Sus scrofa: one gene and its partners. The protein of the gene in region 3 purifies or fractionates together with the protein of the main gene of each other region. This does not show direct contact. Links are inferred from orthologs where the notes say so. Each region holds a gene or a part of one and is shown on either strand. Other genes may lie near its edges.

Region 1 (5,391 bases), on a different chromosome or scaffold from region 3:
GCTTTTTAACTAAGAAAGAAGCAGTTATAAAAAGCTAGAGGCCATTTCAGAGAGCGCACATACACTGTGTATATAAGTTATTCCTCTTCCACCTTCCTCTTTTTATTTATATACAAGGAAAGAAAGATGACCTTGTCTGCTTTATGCATCCTCCATGCAGCACTCGCAGCCACAAAAATGACTCGACAGGTTGTATGCCAAAGTTACCAATTTTTTTTTTTTTTGTCTTTTTGCCATTTCTTGGGCCACATCCATGGCATATGGAGGTTCCCAGGCTAGGGGTCCAATCGGAGCTGTAGCCGCCAGCCTACACCACAGCCACAGCCACGCGGGACCCTTAACTCACCGAGCAAGGCCAGGGATCAAACCCGAAACCTCATGGTTGGTTCCCAGTCGGATTCATTAACCACTGAGCCATGACAGGAACTCCCAAAATTACCAATTTTATTACTTAAATTTTTAACTAAACAAGTGCTGCCATAGAAGTCATGCTAAATATGGTCATTGGGTTCCCAAGACAAGCCACAAATGCCTCCTTAAGTATGAAGTGGTTGAAATAAAGTAAACCTAAAGGGCAAACAGAAGGATCTTCTGTTACAGGAATAATTAAGCAAAAGAAAAGCAATAAAACCGAACGGCATTTTTTTTTTCTTTAATGTATTCTACACATGCTGGGTCCTTGAAGAAAAGCTTGTTAATTAGATCAGGATCAGGAATAGGTGAAACTACATGGAAACTTTAAGGAGACTTTATAAGAGGCTTCCAATGGTTTAAAGAACCTTAGTCCTTCACTGTAAGTAAGTTAAATTCAAAAATCTTACAGTTTATGGGATCTCTAAATCATTATTCTTATCCATGCTTACTAGCAATAAGGGAATATTTTAGCCAAAACAAGACAAGAAGAAAAAGGAAGAGAAACACAGCAAGGGAGTGAATTATGAAGCCATCAAGCTAGACACAGTAAAAGAAATTGAAAAGGTGAGGCTGAAGCGATGGCTGAGTCGTGCATGTAAAATGGAGATAGCATCTTCCTAGAAGGACCACTGTAGGAAGAAAGAGACTGAGTGAGGTCGAAGTTTCTAGCACATGTTATTAGGAGGTTAGACTGCAGCAAGAAGAATTAACTACAGCAGCACAGGTTTATGGTTAGAAGACAGGGGCTGCCTGTTTTGAATGCTGGCTTCATCACATACTAGATGTACTGACCTCGGGGAAGTTATTAAACCTTTTGCTTTGTCTCAATTTCCTCATCTGCAAAATGAAAAAGAGGTAACCACCTCACAGGGGATCAAGTGAGTTAGCATGTGTAAAATACCCAGAAGGACATACAACAGCTACTAGTAAGTGTTCAACAAACATTAGCTATGTCTACAGCACAACGTGTGAAGGGAACAGAAGAAAGTGCCAAGAAGTCTGTCTTGGAGTGATGGTCTGCCTTGGAGATAAGGCAATAGAGATACAAACCAAACTAGGGTACTGCGTCCTATCATCACAGAAACTAATATATATTAAGCATCTACTTGCAATACTGAAAGCACATTCTGTTTCTCGTGGAAACTCTCTAAGTATTGTTACCGCCTATTTCAGTTAAAGAAACAGAGGCTCAAAGTTGTAAAATAATACGTTCGAGGCTGAGCAGCAAGTGGGAAGTAGAGGCAGGATTCAAACTCTGGTCTATTTAGAAACCAATGTTCTTTATACTGTGCTGTGCTATTCTAACTACTTTGAGAAAATAAAAATATTTACATAAAATTTGGATTGGTTTTATCATTTGGTAGAAATTTTAAGATCTAGAAAAAATAACCCATAACATTTTAAGGAAAAACGTATAAAGCCCTCAGATAAAGTTTATCCTTGTGAACTAGAGTGCTGAGCCCATGTCTCGCTGAGCACCATCACTGTAGTACTTTAAGGCACTACAGAAATTCAGCATCTGGTTATAAGCTTACACTATGTGTCAGGTACTGTGCCAGGATCAGGGGAAATGACAGTGAGCAAGACAACTACCTCATGTTCCTCCTGGTGGCAGAGCTTGACAGTAAGGAGAGGCTCTAGAGTCCTACAGAGGGCCCAAGTTCAAACCCTGGATAACTCTCTGGCACCCTGCGTGACTTGGGGCAAGTTACTCCAGGGTTCTGTGCCTCAGTTTCATCATCTACAAAATGAGAATAACAGTACCTGCCGCCTAGGGTTTTGTAACAGCATGAGGAAAGTGGCTGGTATTTAAGAAATTGTATCTCTAGTTAACAACTAGGTGGGAAATGAGGGTAAAGAAATAAAACGGCACAGCTCAGGGAGAAAAGACAAAATAAAGAAAACAGTAGAAAACTGAATCGGCACATGCAAATATGCATAGTGTACCTTAAGAGTGGCCTAAATAAAAGAATAAATAAAATAAACGGGTCTTTTGAAGACTCTAAGATATGATTAACAAAAAGGTGGAGGAGATAAGGCAACAGAGGCACAAACCAAAAGGTCGAGAAACTTCCACAGAGATTTCATAGTTGTTCAGCCAGAAGTGAGTGGACAGAGACGGGTTATATTGGTCTGGAAGGGCAGTCAGGTCTTTTCTCATTATTGAAAGAGCTTTCAAATACTATTTCGAGAATTTTACGGAAGCGCAGGAGTGGAAGCGTCTACTTGCTTCTCTTTGTTTGGACTCGGGTTGGTCTCCCCATTCTGCGAAGCCTCCAAAATTGCATTCCCTGCTTCGCCTCTGAACTCCACCCGATTTATTCTCTACTAAGTTATTAGGACGACGTACCTACAAGCAAACAGGCTGTACAGTGGCCTTCTTTAGACACCCGCTGCCCACTGGCTAAAGCCTCCGTGCCTCAGCAGGACACACAAGGGCCTCACGTTCTCACCGACCCCACTTCCCCGCCACTCGGCTCCCCCAAGGCAACAGACCAGGTGCCATTTTCCTACTTCCACACCTTAGCCCCAGCTCTTCTGCCTACTCACTGCATCCTGTCACCATGTGTACACCGCTCCCTCCAGCATCTACGCTGAGTCTCCAGCTCCTCGCCGCCTCCCTTTCTCCAGGCGGCACGGGAGGAAATCCCGCGTGGGGCGGGGAGGAGGGGCTGATGGGGCCGCCCCGCCCCCGCTCCCGAGTCCTCCGGGCCCCACGCCACCTTATCTGCTGGGGCCTCCTCGGACCGCGTTGCCCGAGGGCGGGTCCCAACACAGCACAGGGCGTGCCGGCGCGGAGGTGGGAGAGGACGGAGCACTCTCTCAGGTCCTCCCGCTCAACTCCGTCCCCCAACGATCGAGGCCGGGGTCGGGGCCAGAAAGGAAACGGTCGCCCACCACACAGAGACAAGATACCGAGGACCGGCGTGCCTCTTACCACAAAAACGGCCTCAGGAATCCCTAGGTGGAGCCGCCGCCCGTTCCCTGCAGCCACTTCTCCCAAACCACAACCGTCCTTAGCGTCCGCCATCTTGGGGAAGCGAGCGCGCGACAAACTGCCTCTCGGGCTGCCAGCCGCCGGGGGACTGTGATTGGCCCGCTCACACCCGCAGGCCCGCCCCTCGCGTGTGAGTCTGCGCATTCATTGGCGCACAGGAAGCAGCCGCCCCTCTCCCTTCGGATGAAACTCCCGACCATTGGATGCTGATTGGCTGCGTACAGGTGAGTGACAGGCGCGGAAGGGCAGCTGAGGCGAACCTGGATCTGCAGCAAGGACCAATACCGAGTCCTGGGAAAAGGGGTTCCGGCGGTTTTGGGGGTGGGCGGGCTGGAGGACCCCGATGATCCCGTACCAAGCCGGGACATATCCCACTGCTATCCTAGAACAGGCAGCGCTCTCCAGAATAGCCTTCGCGAGGCGACACGATCCCTTTTGGAATACAAGCAAATCCGGAACCTAGACGTCGCCACTGGGCTTGGGTGTCCTTCTGGTCCCACCATCCTAGCGAGCTTCCTGACCCTTGAAGGGGACTTGCTTTATGCTTGCTTCCACAGGGAGCGGTGGCCTGATTCTAATAAATACCCTGTCCATTGCATCAAAATTTACCAAAAGCCACCTTTGATCAGCCTCTCACCACCCCTGCTCAAACGTTTTCAAAACTTCAGTGTACATGCAAAATCCTAAGAACTCTTCCAATGCTCCTAGGCCCAAGGACTTCCCCAACATCATCCACTGCTGCAACCGTTTGAAAGTAACTGCGTTATACAGGCCCAAGTAATTATTTTTCCATCTGTTTTCTGACATCTAACCACCATGTTTGCTCCTACGTTTGCTTGCACTCGAGTGCTTCACGGGGAAGCGGTGCTTCATCCACTCGTACGAAGCCTACCATAAGCCAGGCCCTTTCTGAATAAAGGATATGTCAGCTCCCTTACTTAGTGGGGACAAACATATAATAATAGCGATGGACATTTATTAAAAATGGCTATGTGCAAGTCACGGGGTCATGTTATTTAAACCCCTAGTTTGTAGACAACTAAAGGGACCCGAACAATCGGTAAGATAATATAATAAATGCTGTAACAGGCACATTTAGGGTAGGAAAGGAGCATTACCTAGGTCATATTTTAAAATGAGAATAACAAGGGTGTACTAACAAGGCTGCTGTAAAGATGAAATGAGATTATGTATGTAGAATACCTAATAAGGATCTTGCCACACAGTAGGGCCGAAGTAGTGAGGGAGGTGGGATGGAGGTTGGGTACGGGGGAGGGGCTGAAGGAAAGGGGAAGGGGGCGGGCAGAGGAGGACTGGGCTAGAGGAAAGAGTGGCGCTGGAAGGGTTTTAAAAAATAGCCGTTGCTGTAGAACTGGCGAGACTGAGGACCTGTGGGACTAGAGCGAAGGTAAGGGGTCGGAGGACCTGAGAGGTGGGCGGGGCAGGAGGAGTGAGGAAAGCGGGCGGGGCTTTGAACTGCGCCAGGGTCCAGACCTAGATGGGACGGAGGGCTTGGAGGACCTTGGAGCAGGGAAGGGAGCGGGACTGGAGGACAGGGAGGGGGCAGGGCTGGAGGCCTGAGGAGAAGGGAGGGGGTGGAGGAGTGGGTGTGTGGGTGGGAGCCTGAGGAGTAAAGAAATTGGGCAAAGCAGGAGGGCCCGTGGGTGGAGGGGCTGAGGACCGGACCGTGGAACAGAGAGGTGGTGGTCGACGGTGGGAGCTTCTAGATACTAGCAACACAACCTTAGAATATGAAATTAAACAATGCCATTAAGTTAAAACACCTGGTACTTGTATAACGAAACATGCTAGTTACTATTAAGAACCCCAAATCGACAGAGAGAAATTAAAGAATTCCTGAAGAAATACACTTATACCGTGTTCATCATATTGTCAGGATATCTATATGTCTATTTTCTCCAAATTTAACCATAGATTCAATGTAGTCCTAATCAGCAGGTCCTCGGAGGCTTTTTTTT
Region 2 (5,149 bases), on a different chromosome or scaffold from region 3:
TCAATGGGTTAAGAATCCGGTGTTGCCATGAGCTGTGGTGTAGGTCGCAGACGCGGCTCGGATCTGGTGTTGCTATATCTGTGGCGTGGGCTGGTGGCTACAGCTCCGATTGGACCCCTAGCCTGGGAACCTCCATATGCCATGGGTGCGGCCCTAAAAAGATAAAAAAGACCAAAAAAAAAGAGTTAGCATGTCCTAGATGCAAGGCACTGTGAAGAGAAGTATCCCTGAGGCTGGCACATGAACACTGGCGAGCTTACATCCAGGAGAGGAGGCGGCAAAAAGCCAGGTTGTTTGGTAGATGGTGATAATGCGATGGGGGTGGATGGAAGTTCCTGAGAGCTGGGGAAGGTCGAAGGCGGCTTCCCTGAGAAATCAGACCGTGGCTCCCCTCGTGGCCAAGGACTAGACCTGAGAAAGCAGAACTCTGGAGATGGCCCTGGACCACCTCCACTCCCGAACAGAAAATGTCAGGAGCTGTTGGGAGGTCATGCGTTGTAAGGATAAAGCGCTCCAGGCCGCTAACAATTTTCATCGCCTGCAAAGGGCTACCACCCCCGTGATGTTTCACTCTCAGCCACTGGCGCGCCTCTGCTTTCTTCTGAGATGAGGCAGAGGAAAAGGCCCGTGTGCTAACCCACCGGGCACTGTCCACGACCCCAGGCACCTTTGCAAGATGTTTACGTGCGTCCTACTGAGAAAAGGAGGAAACACTCGTGTGTTTTGGCCGCCACCGACCCCTCTATAAGCTCTTTCACCATCTTGGTGCAACCTCCCCCCGCCGGCTCTCTGTCATTCTGGTCACGCTTTGATTTGATGCACACGGGGCCTCTGTAAGAGGTACTCCCTTTCTAGAATGTCTCACCGCCTTTCCGACCTTCTCTTGCTCTCACGAGATCACACCTTCTCAGGAAAGCCTTCCCTGCTCCCCAAGCAGACCTTACTCCACCCTCTCGCTCGTGCCCTTCTTGCATTGCTCTTCGCTGGACCTGCAACTTGTAGTTCTCTGTGGGACTACTGAGTAACAGCTGCCTCTCCCCAACAGCACAGGTTCTCCAATGCTATGAGAAGATCAGAACTTCATTCCTGCTCACCATTCTCAGCTCCATCACCTAAAACGGAGACAGGGAGTTCCCACTGTGGCTCAGTGGGTTAAGAACCTGACTTGGTTTCCGTGAGGATGTGGGTTTGATCCCTGGCCTCACTTGGTGGATTAAGGATCCGGCACAGACGCAAGCTGCAGTGTAGGCTGCAGATACAGCTCGGATCTGGCATGGCTGTGGCTGTGGCGCTGGCCAGCAGCTACACCTCTGATTTGACCCTAGCCTGGGTGCTTCCATATACCATGGGTGCAGCCGAAAGAAAGGAAGGAAGGAAGAAAGAAAAGACAGAAAGAAAGAAAGAGAAAACTGAGACTGTGTCACAGCACATACTCAAAAAGTTTGTTGAATGACTGAAAAAATGTGGGTGATCAAAAAGTTTGCCATCAGGCCCAGGGTTCAAATCATTCCTCTACCACTTCCTCAAGGTTTACTTCATCTCTCTGGACTTCAGTGTCTACATCTGTCAATTGAGGGTGAACCACAACTAGTATCTTGCACAGACTTAAAGGCTAACAGAGGGGCCAAGTTAAATACAGAATCCAAGCCAAGTGAATCTCACAAGGTCTCACACTGGTTTGAAGCACCTTGGCCCTAAACCCTATCTGGCACTCAATTAAGACTCTGTGGTGGACAGACCAGCAGGGTCAACAACTCATGACTTGGTTTGCCTGGGGCTTCCCCAGTTTTTGCACGCCCCCCCCCCCATCTCAGACAAACTGGGATGGACTGGTCACCCTACACCGAGATCAGGCGGCTTAGATTACGAGGTGCTGTGAAGCACAAAAGCCATGGAAGCACGTTCCCACGTGGTCTTACAGAGGAACGAAAGGAAACACACCCAAAACCTACAAAGTAAATCCCTTCAGCCAGGGGCCTCCCAGCAGACACTAGGGAAGCTGAAAACACAGGCTCTGGAGGCAGAACGCCCATGTTTATTTACTCAAATCCTAACTTGCCTCTTGAACTTCCTCACCTGTAACATAAGGATTAAAAACAGCATCGCCCTAAGAGGAGCGTGAGACTAGAATAAATAATGCACTGCAATGTGCTTAGTGCCCTGCACAGAAACACCAGATGCTATTTCCGGACTCTCTCCATTCCATTTTCCTTTTCTCTAGACAGCTCTAAGCATCTGGGTGGACTGACCTGTGTTCAGGAGTTCTGCTTGCTTAGTAGAATAAAAGGTGGGCTTTGGGAAAAACACAATCGAACCTGAATTTGCACCCCAGCTCTGCTTATTAGCTGAGTCACACTGAAGTCACTAACTGCTCTGTGTCTTAAGTTTCTCCAGCTGTAAGATGGGAAGAAAACGTGCCCTTGCTAAATTGCTGGAAGGATCAGAAATAGTCAACCGATGGCTTCTGGGCCGCCGGCCGCTCTTCCATACACTTGTTTTAGTCTGGAGGCGCAGGAGCATCGAGCGTGGAGGTCGGTGGCTCAGGCGCCCTGGGCCAGTGATCCCGGGGATGCGGGGTCCTGCCCTGCTTCTTACGGCTGTGTGACCTTGGGCAGGTGACTCCACCTCTCTGGGCCTCAGCATCGTTGCTTCCAAAGGAGGGTACCAGTAGCACCCATCCTTGGGAACTTGTGAGGGTTAAACGCGATAACCCAGGTACAGCGCCCAGCGTTACGGCCAACCGCAGTCCATCGGACCCTTCGGCTTCCCACACCGCGAGGACAAGGCCTGGGGGGCGGGAGCCCCAGACTCTCCAGGGCCATCCTCAGCACCGCCAGAGGCGGCCCGGAGTCCTCCAAGGGTCCGATCCCGGGCCACCTCGGCCCGGGACCCAAAAGCACCCCTGGGCGCCGGGCGCGGGCAGGCCTCGCCCGGGAGCCGCCCTGAGGGTCGGGAGCCTCGGCCCCGGGCCCCACGCCGTGCTTCAGAGCTGCGCACCCCCAGCACTCCGGGGCCAGCACCCCGCGGCCGAGCCCCGCCGGCCGGCCGAGCATCCCGCACCCCGAGCGCCCCACTCACCGCCTTCTTCATGGTGGCCGCCATCTTGGGACTGGACTACGGCGCGAGGCGGGGAGGGTCCGTCAAGGTGCGCCTCGGCCCCGCGCCCTCCCTCGCTCCCCGTCGGCCCAGGGCTCCCGCCAAATACAACGCGTTCTCTACATTCCTCCGACTGGGTCTCAGATCAGTGATTCCTAAGGTCTGGGACTTGGGGAGGACATGTAACCTGGAAATACTTGGTACATGCCAATTAAAGGGAAGGGCGACTCCCTGTGGGCCGACAGAAACTGGGGGGGTGTGGCGAGCGGCCGCAGCTCCAGCAGCCGGCAGCAGGGGGCGCCGAGCAAGGCGCGGCAGCGAGTGGAAAAAAGGGAAGTTCCTTTCCTTCAACTCCACAAGCCTTACAAGAAATCCACCTCCCTAAAAAAGCTAAGAACGAATGACCTTGCTAAAGACATATCCTTGCTCAGATAATTCAGATGGTACAAAGAAGGAAGTACTCCTAGTAGTTATTTAACAGCATTATTCAGCAATTACTGTGTATTCTAACGTGTGCTACCCAATTCTTAATTGTTGTTTTTTTTTTTTTCCTCAGGATCCCTCTACACTCTTAAAAATTTTTGAGGATCCCGCAAAGAACCCCTTTCCTATATTCATCGATATTTATCATGTTAGAAATTAAAACAGAATTTCAATGCCTTTATTAGTTTAAAATAATAAAAATCCTTTCCACATTAGTGTAAGGGACATTTTTAAATGACCATATTTTCCAAGGGGGCTGGGAATTGAGAAGGGCATAGTTTTACATTTTTGCAAATCTCTCTAATGTTTGGCCTAATGGAAGCTTAGATGCTCACAACTTCTGCATCCAATCTCTTGCAATATGTCGTTTAATTGACATAGATGAAGAAAATCTGATCTCGCAGATATGTAGTTAGAGAAGGGAGGCCCTCAGAGTCCGTGAAGAAATCTCCAGGACCGTAGGGGTTTGAGAATTGTTCTAGACAAGTCTCCTTTCTCAAAGTCCCAATTCTGTCTTTGGGATGTGGGGCTAACAGGGCCATATAGCACCCTCTGCCCTCCCTACCAAAGCACTTAGCCCCACGCGGCGGTGCTGCCTGTTCTGTCAGGGTGCCAGCTCCAGACTCCAAGCCCTTTGCATGAGGCCTTCCCTGTGCCCAGCTCCCAGGAGCTCAATATGTATTTGTTGAATGAAGACCTTTTTTCAGGATTAAATCTTTTCACAGGATCTGGTCCATATTGGGAGCTCCATCAATGACCCTCATTCATTTAAAAGCTCACAAACTAGCAAAATTTAAAGGCCCTGCAGAGGGAGTGAAGGGGAAACAGAACAAATAAGTGAAAATCATTATGAATGGTGCCAAGTGCATGAAGGGGGAAATAAATGAGGTGCTGAGACAGAGAGGCGCAGAAGTTGGTGGCCCGGAGGGGCTCTTTGGAAATGCTGGCTGGGGAGGGGGAAGGAGAGGAAAGGAGGGGTCTCTGAAGCCAGAAGAGGGGGCCTGGGCTGGACCAGCAGCTCGAAAAGGCTGTCTTCCTAAGTTCAGGCTTCTATACTCCTATGGTCAGGGGAGGACGGTCTGCCTAGTTCACAGCCTTCTTCCTGGGTCCTCATGTGGAGGAGAGGTCAGGGAGCTCTCTGGTGTCCTCCCCCCCTTTCCTTTTGCTCTCGATTTGCCGAAGTTCCGGCCAGGCATCCAACCCACGCCACAGCTGCAACCAGAGCCACAACGGTGACAATGCTGGATCCTTAACCTGCTGAGCCACCAGGGAACTCCTCTGGTGTCTCTTTTATAAAAGCACTAATCTCTTTCTTGAAAGCTCCGCCTTCCTGACTAGGCACCTCCCACACACCCCACTTCCTAGTACAGCCCAGGGGATTGTAGGATTCCAAGGTCTGAATTTGGGGGCCAGAGTGGGACACAAACTTGCAGACCACAGCAGATGTTATGGCTCCAGGCTGAATCTTCTGTCAGTCCTCGGCTTTCCCGTGGTCCTTACAAGACAGCTATTACTTCCTCAGGCATCACCTTGTCATCCTCGAGGTGCAAAGGCAGAGAGAGGAGGGGCC
Region 3 (3,833 bases):
GTGACGGGGTAGGAAGGAGGAAGAATTAGTCGACAAGTTAAAGGCACACACAGAATATTAAATTTTTTTTTTTTTTTTTGGTCTTTTCTAGGGCTACACTCGCGGCATATGGAGGTTCCCAGGCTAGGGGTCTCATCGGAGTAGGAGCTGCCAGCCTACGTCAGAGCCACAGCAACACAGGATCTGAGCTGCGTCTGCCACCTACACCACAGCTCACGGCAATGCTGGATCCTTAACCCACTGAGCAAGGCTAGGGATCGAACCCTCAACCTCATGGTTCCTAGTCGGATTTGTTAACCACTGAGCCACAAGGGAACTCCCAGAATATCAAATTTTAAAGAGGCTTACAAATCAAGTAAGGAGAAAAATAACCAAGGCTTTGGTCTTGTCAAAAGCCCCATGAGGGCTAAAGCGCTACTGCCTTAATAACTACCCTCTGCCCTTATCCAACAGGCACGTCTCCTTCTCTATGGTTCCACTTCCCCTGTGCAGACCATGGGCTAAAACGCGTGGGCCATCGGACCTGCCTTTGGAATGATCAGCTCTACCTGGTTGGGGGTTTTGGTGAGGATGGCCAGACAGCTAGTGCACAGGTTTGCATTCTGGACCTTTTTGTCTAAAGAATAGTACCAAGACACACTGCCAACCCTCTGTTTTGTTGCAAACTCATAAAGCATTATCACCAGAGCTATCTGCCTCATTCAAAATGCTTATTAAATTTCAACCTGAGAGTCAACATTTGTCTCTGAATCTTTTTTGGGAGGAGGGCAGTAAATAAGGAGATGCATTTTATTTGCAAGGGAAAGGATAAAATATGGGAACTAATCTGATACTGTGAGCCATTAACCTGCTAGAACCAAAACCACAAGTCATATGCTTGTCTGTCCCATGCAAATTCTGCCCCTAATATTGGGAGAAAGCTTCAGGTGAGAGGTAAGCATTCTGACCAAAACATTTAATTAACAAAAAAATATTACAATAGCAGAGAAAATAATAATAATAATAAAGAGAAATTAGAAGAAGTGGGAATCGGGGTAGAAAAACTGCAAAGGCCTTGGTCCCTAGGAGACCAACACTCCAGCTGAGCTGGCCTTAGCTCCAGCCCCTTCTGAGTTTTCCTTGGATGTTGGCTTCTCATCTTCCCCCATGAGACGAATGTTGTGCTTTTCCCGGAATTCATTTAGTTCTTTTCCCTTTGCCTGAAGCTGCTGTGTCAGTGTCTCGATGATCTTCTGTATCTAGAGGGCAAACAACAGGGATTATATAAGGATTTCAGGACTCCATTCCCTCTTCTGTTATGGACTATGGTTGGGGGAAGTGAAGGAGAGGTGACACCTCTAATCTCACCTTTAACCAAGTATTACTAGTAGAGCCCAGACACTAAAAGTATTCCTTTCTTAAAAACAACAGTTTATAAACTTTAATGTACGTAAGAATCACCTGGGCTGCTATTTTTCCCCCCCCATGGCCTCACCCACAGCATATGGAAGTTGCCAGGCTAGGGGTCAAACCAGAGTTGCGAGCTGCAGCTGCCGGCCTATACCACAGCCACAGCAACGCCAGATCCAAGCCACATCTGCCACCTATGCCACAGCTTGCAGCAACACCGGTCCTTAATCCCCTGAGCAAGGCCAGGGATCAAACCCGCATCCTCACAGATACTAACTGGGTTCTTAACCTACTGAACCACAACAGAAACCCCAAACTCGGAAGCTGCATTTTACATTAGTCCTGTAGGTGATTTGGATGCAGGAATCCATGGACTAAACTGTGAGAAACACCACTCTGACCACCTCCCCTCCCCCTACTCAGCAACTCCTTTGTCTAAGGAGTTAAGACTTGGCATAGCATAATGAGCACAGGCTAATAGCCTATTGTTTTTTCTTTTTTTATTATTATTACTCAATGAATTTATTACATTTATAGTTGTACAATGATCATCACAATCCAGTTTTATAGGATTTCCATCCCACACCCCCAGAGCATCCCTCCACCCCCCAAACTGTAATAGCCTATTTATACTCTCTTCATTATGAGTTCCTACCCAGACTTTCCTCCCCCATGTTCCCTAAATCCCTGGCATCCCCTTCCTTACCCTTTTGTTGCCCAGGGTGTCTATTCAGGGATTCTTGCTCACCTGCTCCTTGTTGTTCTCCAAGGCAGGCAGCACTTCTTTGACAGTCCGCTCTACCAGCACCCCTCCAACCATGCGGTAGCATTTTCGGGTTTCATCTACCTCCTTCAGAGTATCGATCACTAGGCTGAGATAGGAGGACAAGGCAAGATCTGAGGATTCAGTCTCACTCTGCCACAACCCTCTCTTACAAAATGGCCCATCCAACTCTCCTGTTGTTTGCTTCTCCCAGCTTCCTCACCTGTGCTCATTCAATTCCATCTCCAGCTCAGCTGCTTTGGATGCCAGGCCCCGCTGTTCCTGCCGAAGGCGGTTGAAGCCAGCAATTACCTAAAAAGGTGAGAAAGAGATAAAGGCGAGAAAGGGGACAGTGGAAAGGGCACTAGGTCAGTATGTAACATGTGATGGCAAGCTTTACAAAAAACATGTACTAAGCACCTACCTTGTCAAACGAGTAGAACACAGTTTGCAATTTTTAACTTAAATCTGTCTGGAATTCCATTCACCCAACACTACAAGCCTACTCGGGTGAGATATTTGCTATGCCATCTTGCAGTTTACAGTTTGGTGAGAAACAGGCATTTGCTATATCAAAATGGATTGAAGAGATACTGGAGAACCTACAGATAAGCCAAGACTTGCAGGTAAAGACAGCTGTCAGAAAAGGATTGTATGGAGTTCCCACTGTGGCACAATGGGATCTGCAGCATCTTTGCAGCACCAGGACACAGGTTCAATCCCTGGCCCTGCACAGTGGGTCAGAGGATTAAGCATTGCCATAGCTACAGAGCTTCAGGTAGGTGAAACTGGGGCTTGGATTTGATCCCTGGCCCAGGAACTCCATGTGCCTTGGAGCGGCAAAAAAAAGAAAGCCATATGCCACAGGTACAGCCCATAAAATTAAAAAAGGCTTCGTTTAATTAAAAAAAAAAAAGAGTAGCACAGCAGGTTAAAGATCCAGCACTTGTCACTGCAGCTTGGACTGCTGCTATGACCAGAAACTCCACATACCTTGGGCGGGGAACCCCCAAAAAGAAAAGGCTTTGTAATGAGTTAATTCTTCTTTGGGTCTGCCCAGCATCCCTGTCACTGGGGAACTGCCTGCCCCTCCTTAATTCAGGATCCTTGCTCCCTGACCACAGGAGAAGTGACCTATTCTATACTGGAGTCTCTCTACAGGAACTGAATTTTGGTTAGGGACAAACAGGTACAGAAGACAGCTGGGGCTAAGACACCTGATACCTATAAGTTGTCTTATAGAGATGATCCTCCATTCCTATTTCTGAAATCCCCAAAGCTGCCCTAGTTCTTCTATTTATTTATTTAGTCTTGTGTCTTTTTAGGGCCCCACCTGCGGCATTATGGAGGTTCCCAGGCTAGGAGTCTATAGCCACATGCCTACACCACAGCCACAGCAATGTCAGATCCGAGCCGCATCTGAGACCTACACCACAGCTCATGGCAACAACAGATCCTTAACCCACTGAGCAAAGCCAGGGATCAAACCTGTATCATCATGGATGCTAGTCAGATTCGTTTCCGCTGAGTCATAACAGAAACTCCAATTGCCTTAGAGCTTGAACTTTGTGTGGCTTAGTTTTTAACCTTTCTTTTCATTGTGTTCAATCCTGTGACCTACCACCATCCTTCTAAAACACTCCTTTAAAAAAAAAAAAAAAAAGTTGCCTAGAGTCCATTT
Region 4 (5,448 bases), on a different chromosome or scaffold from region 3:
TGAGACAAAGTTATAAAATTTGATGTTTGTTACCTGCGCAAACATCAATAAACGTTCATATAATTATAAATGATCAAGCCACTATGCTAAATATTCTTGACTCTTGAACAACTCAAGGCTTAGGGGCACTGACTCTCCATGTTGTCAAAATGCTGAGTACAGGAGTTTCCTCCTGGCTAGGAGGTTAAGGATCTGGAGTTGTCACTGCTGTGATTCTGGTTATAGCTGTGGAGCACATTTAGTCCCTGGGCTAGAAATTTCCACATGCCTTAGGCATGGCCAAAAAAAAAAAAAAATCCCAGTGTAATTTACAGCTGACCCTCCATATAGCAGTTCCTCTGTATCCTTGGTTCTACATCTGGATTTCAACCAATCACACAGTGTGTGGTACTGTAGTAATACCTTTAAAAATCTATGTACAATTGGATCCCCGCAGTTTAAACCTGTGTTGTTCAAGGGTCAACTGTTTTGAATTTACCCAGTCCTCAAAAGATGCTGTCTATTTGAAGCAGCAGAACAAAGACATGGTAAATAATAAACATATCAAGTAGCAGGTACCCAAGGAGTAATATAGGCACTAAATGCAACAGTCAGCGGATGAAACCCAGAGATCCAAAACAAGAACCATAAATGTAACTACTCACTACATTTATATTTTACAACTAGTTTTCAAAGCACTTTCCCACATTTTTTGAACTATTAATATGTAAATATTAATATGAGAACACTAATAGATGTAATAATAAATACCTCATTTACTCTTCTCAACAATCCTGAGTTAGGGCAAGCAGTTTCATCACCACAGCTTATAAATTAAGTAACTAAATGTTTGAAAGAGATATAAATGACTTGCACATGGTTGAACAACTAAGAGGTCTAAAAGTGAGCTCTTAAGTCCATTTCTTGACTTCTAGTTCAAAAACCTTTCCGTTCTGCTGTCTATAGTAATATTCAGAAAATGCATATTTTAAGAGAAGGACAAAAAAGAAAATATTTGAAACACTGGAAGAAGAATTATATCATGACAGAGGCACACACCAAGCCAAATCTGACCCTTGGGTACCCTTAACTCAAAAAGCTCCTAGGTACTCTTGTTGAAGAGCCTAGAATGACTTTCACATCCTGTCAAATTTATGCCTTAATACTTGAATAATAATTTTTGTGGCTGCAATGCATGGCAAAAGCTGCTATTTAACTTCTACTCTGGCTTTGTTCTCACCTACTAGTAAGGTTTCAAAATTTTGTTTAGAGTTAGAGGAGGTGCCTAAAATGTCCTACTTGTCTCCACTCAAAAAAAAAAAAAAAGACCCGAGCTCCCACTGTGGCGCAACGGGACCAGTGGAGTCTTGGGAGCCACTGGGATGAGGGTTCAAACCCCACCGGCACAGTGGATTAGGGATCCAGCATTGCTGCAGCTGCAGCTGAGGTCGCAGCTGTAACTCCAATCTGATCCCTCGCCTAGGAGCTCCATATGCTGTGGGGTGGCCAAAAATGACCAAAAAAAAAGACATTATAAAGACATTAGAATATCCTTAAACAAGTTTTTTTGAGTTAATTTCACTGGTTGTCAAAGCTACCCAATTCAAGTCTGTACTCATTTAAGTCTATAATCGTTTAAGTCTGTAATCAATTTGTCTGCAATCAATTTAAGTCCGTAACATTTTCTTAGTTTGCATTCATTGCCCACAGGTTTCCTAGCAACAAATTCAAATAATACTGAGGTAAACCCATTCACAGCTGTACTCTATTGTTGGCTCTTTCACTAAACCCTGACTTAATTTGAACAGAAAAAAAAAAAAAGGAGGGGGGCTTTTAGGATGCTTTACGACACAGTTTGCTAAGGAACCTAGTATATTGTTAAAGCTAAGATGGGACAGCATTAGAGACCACGTAAAGACTAAAGATACAAGTTTCGAAACAAAAATGGCAAAAAGGACATACACAAATCCTCAGAGCAATAGTAAACAGCTTTGCTTATTGGGTGCAAAAGCTATTTCACCTGCCCTATGTCTGACACAAAGGTTGACCGGAATGGTTTTAGTACAAGATGCCCTTCTGAAGTACCTAAACTAATGGCCAAAAGGCGGGAAGGCAGAAAATATTGGATTCTGATCCTAACCATGGCCTGAGTCTTTTCTGTAACTGTTTTTATTTCTAGAAAAGTAAAAGTTTAGAGCAGATGAAGTCTAAGATCCTTTCCAATCCCCAACCCATCCCCCTCTCAAAAAAAAAAAAAAAAAAAGATATGCTTTTGAGTTGGTAGCGGTGTCACAATCCTGACAATTCTTTAAGTGGCAAAAACGTCTCTGAGTAACAACACATTTACAGGCAACTATGGGAAGGGAGAAACCCAATTCCTTCTGATACCGATTCCATTTAGAAAACTTTCACTAGACTTTGCTTCTTTTTTGACAAACCCTTTAAAAGGGGAGGGGTGGAGGGGCTAGGGAGGGAGCCAAACAGTGCTGAGAATATCTGATTTAAGAGTATGTCGCGACCTTAGAGGTACGGGATTGAAGAAGTGGCCTAAAAACACAGGTTGGACCTGGAGTTTGTCAAAGCAAATTAGGATGCAGAATTACGGATGCCTCAGCTCGGGCAAGCTGTCTCAAGGGGCTCCAACTTGAAACGCTCACTTCAGGCCTTACAATAGGACTGAAGGCTCCAAGAACAAGGAAAGGGCTCTGGAGCCCGGAACAAGGGACTCAAAACAGCTATCGGCCCGCCAGACTTAACCAGCCCCAGCCCTACCAGCTCTCTTCCAGCAAAGAGCTGCTCGCCCCGACTCCAGCCTAAGGCGACCCAGTCCCGCCTGAAGGACTCTGGGAAAGCATTCCCCAATGCCCTGGGACCTTCTTCCCTCCGCGGGACTTGGGTCTCACTCGATATTCTTGTCTACGGTCCCGTTAGCTTCCAAAGAGAAGCCTGCCTGCTCAAAACCCTCTTTTACCTTCTTCAACTCCAGATCCACGGGAGCCGCCATCTTGATTCCCTCTCTGCGCCTGCGCGCTGGGAGAAGGCCGGAAAGAAGGGTGGGGGAAGGGCGCGCCTTGGCGGATCGTCCCCTTTCCTTCTACGCCTGCGCAGGAGCCGAGCTGCTTGGTTTCCTCCGCTCTCCAGCGCTAGGAATCCCCCCTCCACCCAGAGAACCCTAGATTCCGATTAAAAGCACATGTTTCTCGTGACCTATAGGCTTGGCCTGTTTCTCCACATCCTTCCAGACACCGCACCACGCGCAGATTTCGTGCATGGTTTTAAGTATTTTTGACAAATACCTTAGTTTGTGCTGCTAAATTGAGATGTATGTAGATGAGGCCAAAACCTCTTCAGTCAGGGTCCCTGTGCTGTCAGGGAGGACAAAGAATCCCAGGAGTTTGCATCCTGGTGCAGAGGAAACGAATCGGACTAGGAACTATGAGGTTGCAGGTTCGATCCCTGGCCTGGCTCAGAGGGTTAAGGATCCGGTGTTGCCTGAGCTGTGGTGGAGATCACAGACACGACTGGGATGGCTGCTGTGGCTCTGATGCAGGCCGACAGCTACAGCTCTGATTCAACCCCTAGCCTGGGAACCTCCATATGTTGCGGCCCTAAAAAGACAAAAACAAAAAACGAAAATTCAGCCCACGCCTCATACATGCCAATATAGAGAAAACCGGAAGGCTTAGCCGAACTGTTCCTCCAAAGAACTTAGTTATACTGAACACTCATGGAAGACCTTCTTGACACAGTGGTTCTCACAAACCAAATTAGTTTGTTTCAAATATATATATTTTGGAGTTCCCGTCGTGGCGCAGCAGAAACGAATCCGACTAGGAACCATGAGGTTGCGGGTTCGACCCCTGGCCTTGCTCAATGGGTTAAGGATCCGTCGTTGCCGTGAGCTGTGATGTAGGTCGCAGACGTGGCTCGGATCCCGCGTTGCTGTGGCTCTGGCGTAGGCCGGTGGCTACAGCTCCGATTAGACCCCTAGCCTGGGAACCTCCATATGCCAAGGGAGCAGCCCTAGAAAAGGCAAAAAGACAAAAAAATTAATGAATAAAATAAAATATGTATATTTTAAACACGCACACAGAGATTCTCTGGTCCTTATCCCAAACTTAATTACTTAGAATCTTTGAGATCAGGGCCCAGAAATTTGCACCTTTGCAAATGCCCCAAGTGGTCTGCAAACCACATTTTGAGAATCTTATGTAAAATATCTGGCATTTGAACCAGAGGGATGGCTGGTAATTGGACTTTTAGAAATGAAAGAAATGGATGTTTTGCCTAGTCTAAAAACCTGTAAGAGAGAGGAAAGGGCAGGTAATTTAGAACCAGACAGATTCCAAGGTAGCTAAGGTTTGGTCTACCTTGTGCCTAGATATGTCTGGTTCTACTTACTGTGTAGCAATAGAGTTTGTCTCCTTATTTAATATGGAAATAACAATATTATTGAGTTCCCATCATGATTCAGTGCCAATGTACCCAACTCACATCCATGAGGATTAGGGCTCAACCCCTGGCTTTGTTCAAGGGGTTAAGGATCCGGTGTTGCCTGTGACCTGTGGTGTAGGTCAAAGATGAGGCTCAGATCCTGCATTGCTGTGGCTGTGGCATAGGCCAACGGCTCCAGCTCCAGCTCAACTCTCAGCCTGGAAACTTCCATATGCTGCAGGTGCAGCCCTGGGGGGAAAAGAAAAAGAAAAAGAGAGAGAGAGAGACAGAGACAGAGAGAGAATAATAATATTACCCTAACAGTGTTATGTGGGCAAAGAATAAGATCAAGGTGAAAAGTTCCAAGTTTCACACAATGCACAAGTAGATACTGGATAAATAGTTGTAATTAAGTAGCAGTTAGCATTGTTGTGTTTGCCTTTCAAGGTCCAGCAAACTCTTCCTTTATTGTTTTTGTTTTTGTTTACATTACTTGTCACACAGTTATCAGGCAGCTGCTTTATGCGGGATCTCACTTCCCAGACCAGGGATTAAACCCTGCATCAATGAAACCACTAAATCCTAACTGCTAGACCACCAGGAAACTCTCTGTTAAAAAAAAAATCTTTATTCAGGTATAATGGCATATAATAAACTGAATATATTAAAGTGTATAATTTGATAAGTTCCCATCTAGGAAACCATCTTCATAATTGTGATAATAAATCTATCGCCACAAAAGTTATCTAATGCTCCTTCTGCTTCCCCCTTAGTCTCCCCCCCCCCAATCTCTCTGGCAATTACTGATCTTCTTAAGTCTCTTTAGATTTGTTTGCATATTCTAGAACTTTATAGACATGGAATCATACAGCATGTTACTCTTAGCCATCTTTCACTCAGCATACTTATTAGGAGATTACAAATCATCTTTGATCCCTCTCTTTCTTTCATTGTGACCTCCCTGCCCACAGCAGCAGGGAAAAAATCTAAAAGAAAAATAAAGACTCCTAATTTGGGGGTTTTGGGGGGGAGTTT
Region 5 (4,669 bases), on a different chromosome or scaffold from region 3:
ATACCCGGTTTCTCAGCCTGATTTGACACTGTACCTTGCTTCTTGTCAGTGTATGATACCTATTAATATTCTGTGGGACATGTTCACTGTAACATGCCGGGAAGGCAGCCTTCGACCACACCACTCAAAGCTTTTCTGCCTCATAAACAATCCCTAACACAAATATTCATCAGGCTTTAGAGCAGAGCAATTCAGACCAACTTAGAAATGGATGAAGAGGGCTGGCAGATTCAAAACAAAATGGGCAGCTAACATCCTGGCAGGGAAAGAAGGGATGGAAAACATATAAAGCATCCATGGATTTTTTTTTTTTTTGGTGGGGTATCAATCCATTTTACCGAGGGGCTTTGGGGGAGGGTTGAAGGGCTGGGAGAACAGTGAGATCCGATGTCCTCCTGACCCCTATCTCCTAGCCTCACAGTCACTCAAAGCTCCATGGATTATTATTTTCAGATAGTCAGCAAATATTCCTGCACAGTGTGACCACAGAGGTTCAGAAGAGCAGCAATTAGTCCTTATGAAAAGGCGACATCCTTAGTAAATTTGCTTAAGATGGGAGGAAGACATTTATTATCTTTGCCAAGATTAGATTTAAAAAGCTGGGTGTTAAAAGGCAAGATCCAGTTGTTGGGAAAATTTATCCCCTCATGTACTGGATAAGAAAGCCCTGCTTATCAGCCCCTCTGCCAGCTTCCTGAAGTTGTCCTTCCTTCAAATACTGCTCAGATCAGCCTCTGGGACAAAGGCTGAATCAACCAACTCAAACAGATTCTTCACGTCCTTTCATCAGAATCTTGAGTTTTATTTAACCCCAAATATCCTTTTAGAGGGGGAAGGTCTTTTGAACGAGAACATTTCAAGATACCAGACCATAAATAAAAGTTTATTTATCTTTGCAGTCCCAGCCACTTGTGAATCACCTCCAATATATGGACGAGAGACTTCACAACAGTCAGTATGGTTGGTCCCTCTCCCTTGGCCCGAGGCTCGTAGCTCGAGGCTGTTCGGCCGGTCTTCCACGGTGTGAAAAGCCTCTCCATCAATTTCCTTGGGTGCTTTTGTTTGTTTGTTTGAGAGCGCGAGCAGTGGAAGGAATGATGCATAGGAGCAGAATCGGTCCTCACCCCTTTTGCTTCCCACTGCACTGGGCGTATCGACCGTTCTCTTTCAATAACCGTCTCCTCCATCCTTACTCATTGTATTTGGACAGTTTTAACCTGGGGATAATGTTCATCGACTGCAGCTCCTGGAAGAGCAGCTTGCAGGCGTACGGGATGCGGAGGGAGGACACGTGGCACGACGACTTGCAGTAATGGCACCTGAAACCCAAGTCAGTTGTGTTAGAGGGACAGCAACTCAGAATCGGAGGCCGGCATGCAGGAAGTGAGGATGTGCTCTATAAAAATCTACTACTGTTCCTTCAAGTTCATTAGCTTTCCATTCCTCAGTGTTCGGTCATACTATCAAATATGTACGTATGTGCCCCCAAAATAAACAGCAGCATCCGAGGAAGCAAAAGAAAACAAAACAAACATGGCTTCCCCAGTTTTAAAAGCACAGAATTTTAATCAGTTACTTTCTTATTTCTAGACCTTTCTCCTTCAAATGCAAAATAGCTGTCTGTCTACTTATTCTAAATGAAGCCCAGAAATCTGAACCATCTAAAAGTTACTCATATTTAGACTTTTTCATTGTTGAAAGTGCTTTAAACTGATTCATCTCCATGTATTGGAAAAGCATCTATGGTCTATAGCCACAGTACCCTGAACACGCCAGATCTTGTTTGAAAAGCATCTATGACACTATACTATTCTAGGCAAGATACTCAAATTAATTTCTATCACTGAAATACTTGAAGTGTGATGGGAAAGATAAGACTTTCATATAGAAAGTGACGCCCAATCAAATGCAACTTATTTTTCCAGTGCTCTTCAAGCTCGCTTATCTCTATTTTTATTTATTTTTTATTTATTTTATTTTTTTGCTTTTTAGGGCCACACCCGTGGCATGTGGAGGTTCCCAGTATAGGGGTCTAATTGGGGCTACAGCTGCTGGCCTACGCCACAGCCACAGCAATGCCAGATCCGAGCCACATCTGTGACCTTACACCACAGCTCATGGCAATGCTGGATCCTTGACCTACTGAGCAAGGCCAGGGATCCAACCCGCAACCTCATGGTTCCTAGTCAGATTCATTTCCGCTGCGCCACGACGGGAACTCCAAGCTCGGTTATTTCTATTAGTACTAGAAGCAGCGGTACTTATGATGCGCTGACCTTGTGCAGAACTAAAGAACCTGTGTGCGTGCGTACACAGAGTCCCATTTAACCCTTGCAACAGCATATGCTCCTCTTCAATGTGCCTGCTCTTCCAATTAGGATTTTCTTTCCTCTTCCTTCAGGAAGAGCCAGTGAATGGAACCTAGGTCTTATCAATGGCTACAACTAAAAAAGGGCTCCTGGGGAGAAAGTGAATTATTCTCTCAGGTTTCAGACCAAAAAGAGGACTTCACCCTATACGTCGGGCATCTGGGACAATAGGTTCCCAGTATAAATCTTGGGACTTAATAGGTTGAAAACTAGGTCCTCCCAGTTACTAGGTGGGGCGGTGGGGGTGAGTACAAAACAGTAGCCAGGGATCCGAAAAGTCAGTGCTGACTGGGAACTGGAGGGAGGGTCCTTAAAGAATGGTAAAGGCCTTTCTGGAGGGCAGTGAGACAGTCAGGTATAAAACATAGATGTGCCTGTTATTTCATTGCGTAATCCTAACAGTGGCAAAATATGTGCACAAGAATGTTCACAGCCTCACCATTTATGACAGCATAAAATAGGAGACGACTCACATGTCCAGTAAGCACTTGGGGCTGTGATTACAGGACACGTATACAGAAGAATACGGAGCAAACATTAAACGCGATGATGCAGACCCATATGATTGAAACGTAATGGTGTTCGGGGCACACTGTGAAGGAGAAAAACCAGGCTGCTAAACCGCACGAGCACAAGGGGGCCCTCGGACGGGTTTCAGTACATATATGAAGGTCTCAAAATCACATATAACAAGATTTTGTGTGATTATATATTTTTATTTTTCTGCAAGTATCAGAATCTCAAAAGAGTTCGGGATTTAGGAGTTCCCGTCGTGGTGCAGTGGTTAACGATTCCGACTAGGAACCATGAGGTTGCGGGTTCGATCCCCAGCCTTGCTCAGTGGGTTAAGGATCTGGTGTTGCCGTGAGCTGTGGTGTAGGTCACAGATGTGGCTTGGATCCGACGTTGCTGTGGCTCTGGCGTAGGCAGGGGGCTACAGCTCCCATTAGACCCCTAGCCTGGGAACCTCCATATGCCGTGGGAAGGGGCCCTAGAAAGGGCAAAAAGACAAAAAAAAAAAAAAAAAAAAAAAGAGTTTGGGATTTAAAACAAAAGAGGGTCCAGAGCTACTGGCACACAGACAGGTCCCCAAGTGAGTCACTAAAACGTTAAGAGTGGTCGTTGGTGGGTAGTAGGAATTAATGTGAACATTTGTATTTTTCTTTATATTTTTCTTCATATTTCTGTAACTATGAATATTTTACAAAGAGCAGAGATCATTTTTTGCACTCAGTAAAATAAAGCCTTATTATTTTAGAAAAGAAAAGCACTAAGGCTGAGAATCTGAATGTGGTGATGGGTGGCTATGTAGATATGAGCCTCTAGAGGAGAAGAGAATGGAAAAAGGATGAGCCATGATGGTCCCTTGCTTGGGTCCCCCTGAGGGGACTTGCAGAGGCCCTAACGAGCACTGCAGAGAACAGAGTTCATCAATAGAAATAATAGGAATGCGGTGGATGCCTTTTCCTAAAAGATCACCTAAAGACCCTTTAATGCATTATAGTTTAACAACTATGTTTTTAATGTGTCTGCATTGATTCCATGCTTTAATTAAATTGGAGAAAAGGATTTAACCGGGGGACCTTCTCACTGACTCTTCTGTCCCGTGCATTATCTTGTGACTTCAGTCCAAGCTAATCTATTCAAAATTTCCATATGTGCTGATTCATAATCCAGAAAGCCCATCAATATTCTCTGTTATTAAATATTTCTCCATCCTTTAAGATGTTCCAATGCTATGTACACATATAGGCATAAATAAATGTACATAAATAAAAATATACAAATGTTTACCCTATGTCTGAAAGGTTTCCAAAGGAAGAAACCTGACCTAAACAACGATAAAATAAACTGTTTTTTTTAGGGCAAAGGCAGCAAAAGGAGGAGGCTGTAGCTTCACATGAGGAATGGCTGTCCAGTAAAATATCCTCTACGAGCTAATTATCTTAATAGGGATTTTCTTTTCTCTGCAGTTTTCTTTCTGGACCTCTCTTTTGTGACTTATGCCCTCCGTGTCTTCTGCAGAACAACAGTCTTGCTGTAAACATCCCCATAGCAATGCCTTACTAATGTGCAAATCACTGACAAAAGGCCAGTTTCAAGGTTCTGAACTGCTCTAATTACTCAGCCTCCATTGTGCGGTTCATTAAAGAGCGACTTCCTCCAGCAAACGCTGTGCTCCCTCCCACACAACCCAGTGCACACGATCAGGTAACGACGGGAGAAAGACAGCATCATTACGCTCCTCTGCCAGAAGGCTGCATGAGCAGGCTGCTAGACTAGCAGACTGGATTCGGATT
Region 6 (4,669 bases), about 35 Mb from region 3:
ACGCTGGATCCTTGGCCCACTGAGTGAGGCCAGGGATCGAACCCGTGCCCTCATGGACGCTGGTTGGGTTCGCTAACTGCTGACCCACGACGGGAACTCCAAATGTTATATTTAAACTTTTCTCAAGAGGTAAAATCCCAAGAACGTCTATAAACTTTTCTGCTAAAAATGACTCTTTAAATTGGCTTTCTTTAAATTTATAAAATATTACAGTAATTTTTAGTAAAGACTAAGTGAATTAGTAACCTGAACTTTTTAACCTTACTATATAGTTTCCTGACAACACAGTGAGTTAGGCTGCTTCCCAAAATCCAGTATCTTCTGGAAAAATTTAAAATTCTTACCCCAGGATTATTACATTAATAGGATTAATAGAAATAGCCACCACAGCAGAAAGCAAAGTTCAGATTTTGTGCTTAAAGCTAAAATAGCAAACAACTAACATTTCTGTAAGTTAATTTTCTGATTTTAAGTGTAAAATCCTTAATAGTTCTGCTTGAGATACAACCATTTCCCCACAACTAAAATGTATACAGTAAATGCATCCCAAAGAAAATCAGACCTGTTCTCTACATATCTCAAAAGGCAGAAAGAAATTATTAGAATACATGAATAAACGTATATGGAATGATTTAAATTACCTTTCTTCTTCTCGAACCCACACTGGAGTTTTAGGAATTTGTGCTTGGAAAAGCTTAGATGCTTTATAACAAAAATTGCTGCAAAAACACTGAAAAGAACATTTAAAAACCAGCAAATTATTTTTCTTATTGTGAAACACACCTTACATGCACAAGAGAATATAAAATATAAATATGTAGTTCAGAGAAAAAAAAACGAAATCCACTGAATCTCCCAGCCAGGGTAAGAAGGAAAGTAGAGAACCTTGCAGGCTTCTACGTGTCCCTCCCTGATGGCATCTCTCTCCGAGTTCCCCAGAGGCAACCACTATCATCACGGGTTCTGCGTTACTCCTTTGCTTTCCTTCAGTTTTGCTACCCACATACATTTCCTATAAAATACATCATTCAGTTCTGCTTACCTTTAAACTTTGTCTACATGGAACCATATAGTTACATATTCCTAGAGTCCTCTCTTCCATGTTATGTTTTTGAGATTCATTTGTGTAGGTATAGTTTATTCATTTATACAGTGTATTATATGTCAATGCCTAAGTATTCCACCCTTTAGTTACTGTTTTTTTTTTTTTTTTTTTTTTGCTATTTCTTGGGCCGCTCCCGCGGCATATGGAGGTTCCCAGGCTAGGGGTCCAATCGGAGCTGTACCCACCGGCCTACACCAGAGCCACAGCAACATGGGATCCGAGCCGTGTCTGCGACCTACACCACAGCTCACGGCAACGCCGGATCGTCAACCCACTGAGCAAGAGCAGGGACCGAACCGTCAACCTCATGGTTCCTAGTCGGATTCGTTAACCACTGCGCCACGAAGGGAACTCCCCTTTAGTTACTGTTAAGGCTGAGTTTTAACTTTTAGTTATCATTACAATGTTACTATGAACCTTTTTTTAATTATAATTTTTTAAATTAAAAACCGTGGTATAATACACAAAATTTATCATCGAAGCATTTTTACCTGTACAATTCAGAGGCATTAAGTGCTTTCTTACTGTTGTGCAACTGTCACCATCATCCATCTCCAGAACTCTCTTCATCTTGCAAGAGTGAAACTCTATACATATTAAACAATAACTCCCCATTTTCACCTCCCCGACTGACAAACACAAGTCTACTGTCTGTCTCTACAAATTTGACTACACATTACCTCATATAAGTAGAATCGTATAGTATTTTGTCTTTTGTGCTGCCTTCTCTTACTTAGCATAATGTTTTCAGATCATTCAGTTGCAGCTTGTGCCCAAATTTCCTTCCCTTTTAAGACCATGTAACAGTCCGTGCTATGTGTGTACATATTTTGCTCACCCTACGAGGAACACTCACACCCTCCCCACTATGTACGTATAGGTTAGTGCACACGGACAAGGGTGGACACAGAAGAAGAGGAGAATGGCCACAAAGACCGTGTAAACTTGACCACCTATTTGACTCTGCCAAGCTGCTTCTCAAAAAGATTGTACCAATTCTTATTGGACCAGAGTATAAAGAGTTACTAATATCGTCAGATTTCTAAAATTTTGCTACTTTAGGGGCTGCAAAAATGTAACTCAGTGTGTTTTTATTTGCTGTTTTCCTAACTACTGATGAGGCTGGAGCATCCTTCATATATTCATGAACCATTCAGATTCCTTCCATAAAAATTTTTTAATCAAGTTTTTTACCTTTTTTTATAGATGATGTGTTCTAGTTATGAATCTGTGGGCAGTTATATGTGAGAAGTATAACTCCTGATTTGTAGCTTACCTTTTCACTCTTTTTTAGAAACTTCTAATAAGCAAACATTTTCAATTGTTTCTAGTCTATGGTCTATAATTTTCTATTTATTTAAGAAATTCTCTCTAGTTGAAGTTGATAAAGATATTCTCCCATAATGTCTTTGAGAAGGTTTGTCTTTTACATTTGGGTTCTTAATCTACCTAAAAGTGAGCTTGTTATATACACAGAGATAGAGTTTTCACTTTTTTGGAATGGATAATTGTGCCACTACTATGTATTTAAAAATCCATCCTTGGGCACAGTCTTTAAGGCATTACATTAGCCTGCTGTGGCCCCCTTCACCTGGTAAAGCAATAAAGCTACCTTTTTCTCCTTCACCCCCAAAAATAAAAAAATTAAAAATTCATCCTCTCTCCACTGATCTAAAATACTCCTGATGTCATATACCCAGTGTCCATGTAAGGAGTGCCTCTGTTTCTGGCCCTCTGTTCTGTTCTATGATTCACTTGCCTGAATTTGTGCCAATATGCACCTTTAATTTTTAAAGGTCTGTATATCAACTAAAGTGTAAGCAAAGAGTTTTCTTCTTTTTTTTTTTTTTTAACATTTTGAATGAAATTATTTACAAATGAAAAACTCTTAATATGGCTATTTTCTACAAGGCGAAAATTTAAAGGCCTATTTTTAGAATCCCATTTAGTGTAATATTATATATCCACTGCCACATTGAAAATGCCTTTAAACTTACCTTTCTTTCAGTAATATCATAGACTTTATTGGTTCTGGTAGAAATTTTGTATTTCTGTTTTGGTACCTAAAGAAAAGAAAATACAGCTTACAAAAAAATTCAAGTAATAAACATGAACTTCATAGTTACCAAGATTAAGTCATCTATGGAGCATATCTTAGGCTAACCCATGTCATTCGTTCATGACCTCAGTTTCATTTATTACTCTTTCTACACAATTTTTTTTGCTAAATATAAAAATTAATAGTCTACATCTTAAAAAAAAAAAGTAGTTACTTACAATTCCTAGCTTCTTCTGACATAAGGGATAGCCGCAGAGTTTGATAATAGCACGCTCGTCCACGACGTCACTGTAGTGAGCAGGTGTGATGAACTTCCCCTGCAGTGAAATGATATGGACATTTCCCATCAGATGACTGGAAAAATTTATCAGCTCTCTAAGCCTCGTCAGTCTCATCTGAAAACACAGGGATCAGAACAGTACCTATCTCACAGGTGTGATGTTAGAAACAGAGGAGAAAATAAAGGAAAAGCACTCAGAAAAGTGCTTCTCAACACACAGTAAATACTCAAAAAATGTTAGTTAGCTATTATTTAAAAAAACTCACAAACCCCCCCCAAATTTCTGCTATGCATCTTTGTAGATTATAAAATTCATGAAATAATTCTGAGGCAGGAGGAAAAAGTAATCTATAGTGATTGCTATAACAAAGGAAAATACTGATAGTGTATTTTATTTCAAAAAAAGCATTACTCAGGAGATCCCATTGTGGCTCGGTGGTAATGAACCTGACCAGTACCCATGAGGATATGGGTTCAATCCCTGGCCTGGCTCAGTGGGTTAAAGGATCTGGTGACGTTGTGAGTTGTTGTGTAGGTCACAGATGCAGCTTGCATCTGGCATTGCTTGACTATGGCATAGGCCAGCAGCTACAGCTCTGATTCGACCCCTAGCCTGGGAACCACCATATGCCACAGGTGCAGCCCTAAAAAGACCAAAAAAGTATTACTCAAAAATAAACCAAATAAAATAAGATATAACTTCAACTTTTTTCTTTTTTTTTTTTTTCTTTGTCTTTTCTAGGGCTGCACCTGCGGCATATGGAGGTTCCCAGGCTAGGAGCCTAATCGGAGCTACAGCTGCCAGCCTAAGCCAGAGCCACAGCAATGCCAGATCTGAGCCACATCTGCTACCTACACCACAACTCAAGGCAACACCGGATCCCTTAACCCACTGAGCGAGACCAGGGATCGAACCCGAAACCTCATGGCTCCTAGTCGGATTTGTTAACCACTGAGCCATGATGGAAACTCCCTATTTTTTTTTTTTTTCCTTTTCACAGCCACACCTGAGGCATATGGTAATTCTCAGGCTAGGGGTCCAGTTGAGCCGCAGCTGCAGGCCTATGCCACAGCCACAGCAAACTGGATCCGAACCACACCTGTGACCTACACTGCAGGTCCTTAACCTGCAGCAACACCGGATCCTTAACCCACTGAGCGAGGCCAGGGATCAAATCTGCATCCTCGCAATCACTATGTTGGGTTCACTGAGCACAATGGGAAC

Evidence for each region.
Region 1: the proteins of PFDN2 (region 3) and VBP1 fractionate together in Homo sapiens (co-fractionation; 8 studies listed by BioGRID and IntAct, counting the BioPlex papers as one, with this or other methods). This does not show direct contact. The link is inferred for Sus scrofa from reciprocal best matches to the Homo sapiens genes PFDN2 and VBP1.
Region 2: the proteins of PFDN2 (region 3) and PFDN4 purify together in Homo sapiens (affinity purification with mass spectrometry; 6 studies listed by BioGRID and IntAct, counting the BioPlex papers as one, with this or other methods). This does not show direct contact. The link is inferred for Sus scrofa from reciprocal best matches to the Homo sapiens genes PFDN2 and PFDN4.
Region 4: the proteins of PFDN2 (region 3) and PFDN1 purify together in Homo sapiens (affinity purification with mass spectrometry; 5 studies listed by BioGRID and IntAct, counting the BioPlex papers as one, with this or other methods). This does not show direct contact. The link is inferred for Sus scrofa from reciprocal best matches to the Homo sapiens genes PFDN2 and PFDN1.
Region 5: the proteins of PFDN2 (region 3) and POLR3B purify together in Homo sapiens (affinity purification with mass spectrometry; 3 studies listed by BioGRID and IntAct, with this or other methods). This does not show direct contact. The link is inferred for Sus scrofa from reciprocal best matches to the Homo sapiens genes PFDN2 and POLR3B.
Region 6: the proteins of PFDN2 (region 3) and RPAP2 purify together in Homo sapiens (co-immunoprecipitation; 3 studies listed by BioGRID and IntAct, with this or other methods). This does not show direct contact. The link is inferred for Sus scrofa from reciprocal best matches to the Homo sapiens genes PFDN2 and RPAP2.

The regions. Positions count from the first base shown.
Region 1 is NC_010461.5:125,483,421-125,488,811, reverse strand, and holds the start of VBP1 (prefoldin subunit 3), read right to left. Parts: upstream 3,456-5,391; 5' UTR 3,446-3,455; coding exon 3,353-3,445; intron 3,171-3,352; exon of another isoform or gene 2,965-3,170; intron 1-2,964. UniProt on the Homo sapiens protein: Binds specifically to cytosolic chaperonin (c-CPN) and transfers target proteins to it. Binds to nascent polypeptide chain and promotes folding in an environment in which there are many competing pathways for nonnative proteins.
Region 2 is NC_010459.5:55,153,939-55,159,087, reverse strand, and holds the start of PFDN4 (prefoldin subunit 4), read right to left. Parts: upstream 3,317-5,149; 5' UTR 3,103-3,316; coding exon 3,079-3,102; intron 1-3,078. UniProt on the Homo sapiens protein: Binds specifically to cytosolic chaperonin (c-CPN) and transfers target proteins to it. Binds to nascent polypeptide chain and promotes folding in an environment in which there are many competing pathways for nonnative proteins.
Region 3 is NC_010446.5:89,338,555-89,342,387, reverse strand, and holds the end of PFDN2 (prefoldin subunit 2), read right to left. Parts: intron 2,465-3,833; coding exon 2,376-2,464; intron 2,262-2,375; coding exon 2,138-2,261; intron 1,239-2,137; coding exon 1,062-1,238; 3' UTR 780-1,061; downstream 1-779. Other genes in the region: KLHDC9 (kelch domain-containing protein 9), read left to right, coding at 454-620. UniProt on the Homo sapiens protein: Binds specifically to cytosolic chaperonin (c-CPN) and transfers target proteins to it. Binds to nascent polypeptide chain and promotes folding in an environment in which there are many competing pathways for nonnative proteins.
Region 4 is NC_010444.4:142,074,902-142,080,349, forward strand, and holds the start of PFDN1 (prefoldin subunit 1), read right to left. Parts: upstream 3,100-5,448; 5' UTR 2,984-3,099; coding exon 2,951-2,983; intron 1-2,950. UniProt on the Homo sapiens protein: Binds specifically to cytosolic chaperonin (c-CPN) and transfers target proteins to it. Binds to nascent polypeptide chain and promotes folding in an environment in which there are many competing pathways for nonnative proteins.
Region 5 is NC_010447.5:13,804,385-13,809,053, forward strand, and holds the end of POLR3B (DNA-directed RNA polymerase III subunit RPC2), read right to left. Parts: intron 1,320-4,669; coding exon 1,190-1,319; 3' UTR 773-1,189; downstream 1-772. UniProt on the Homo sapiens protein: Catalytic core component of RNA polymerase III (Pol III), a DNA-dependent RNA polymerase which synthesizes small non-coding RNAs using the four ribonucleoside triphosphates as substrates.
Region 6 is NC_010446.5:124,756,445-124,761,113, forward strand, and holds part of RPAP2 (putative RNA polymerase II subunit B1 CTD phosphatase RPAP2), read right to left. Parts: intron 3,482-4,669; coding exon 3,383-3,481; intron 3,169-3,382; coding exon 3,103-3,168; intron 731-3,102; coding exon 642-730; intron 1-641.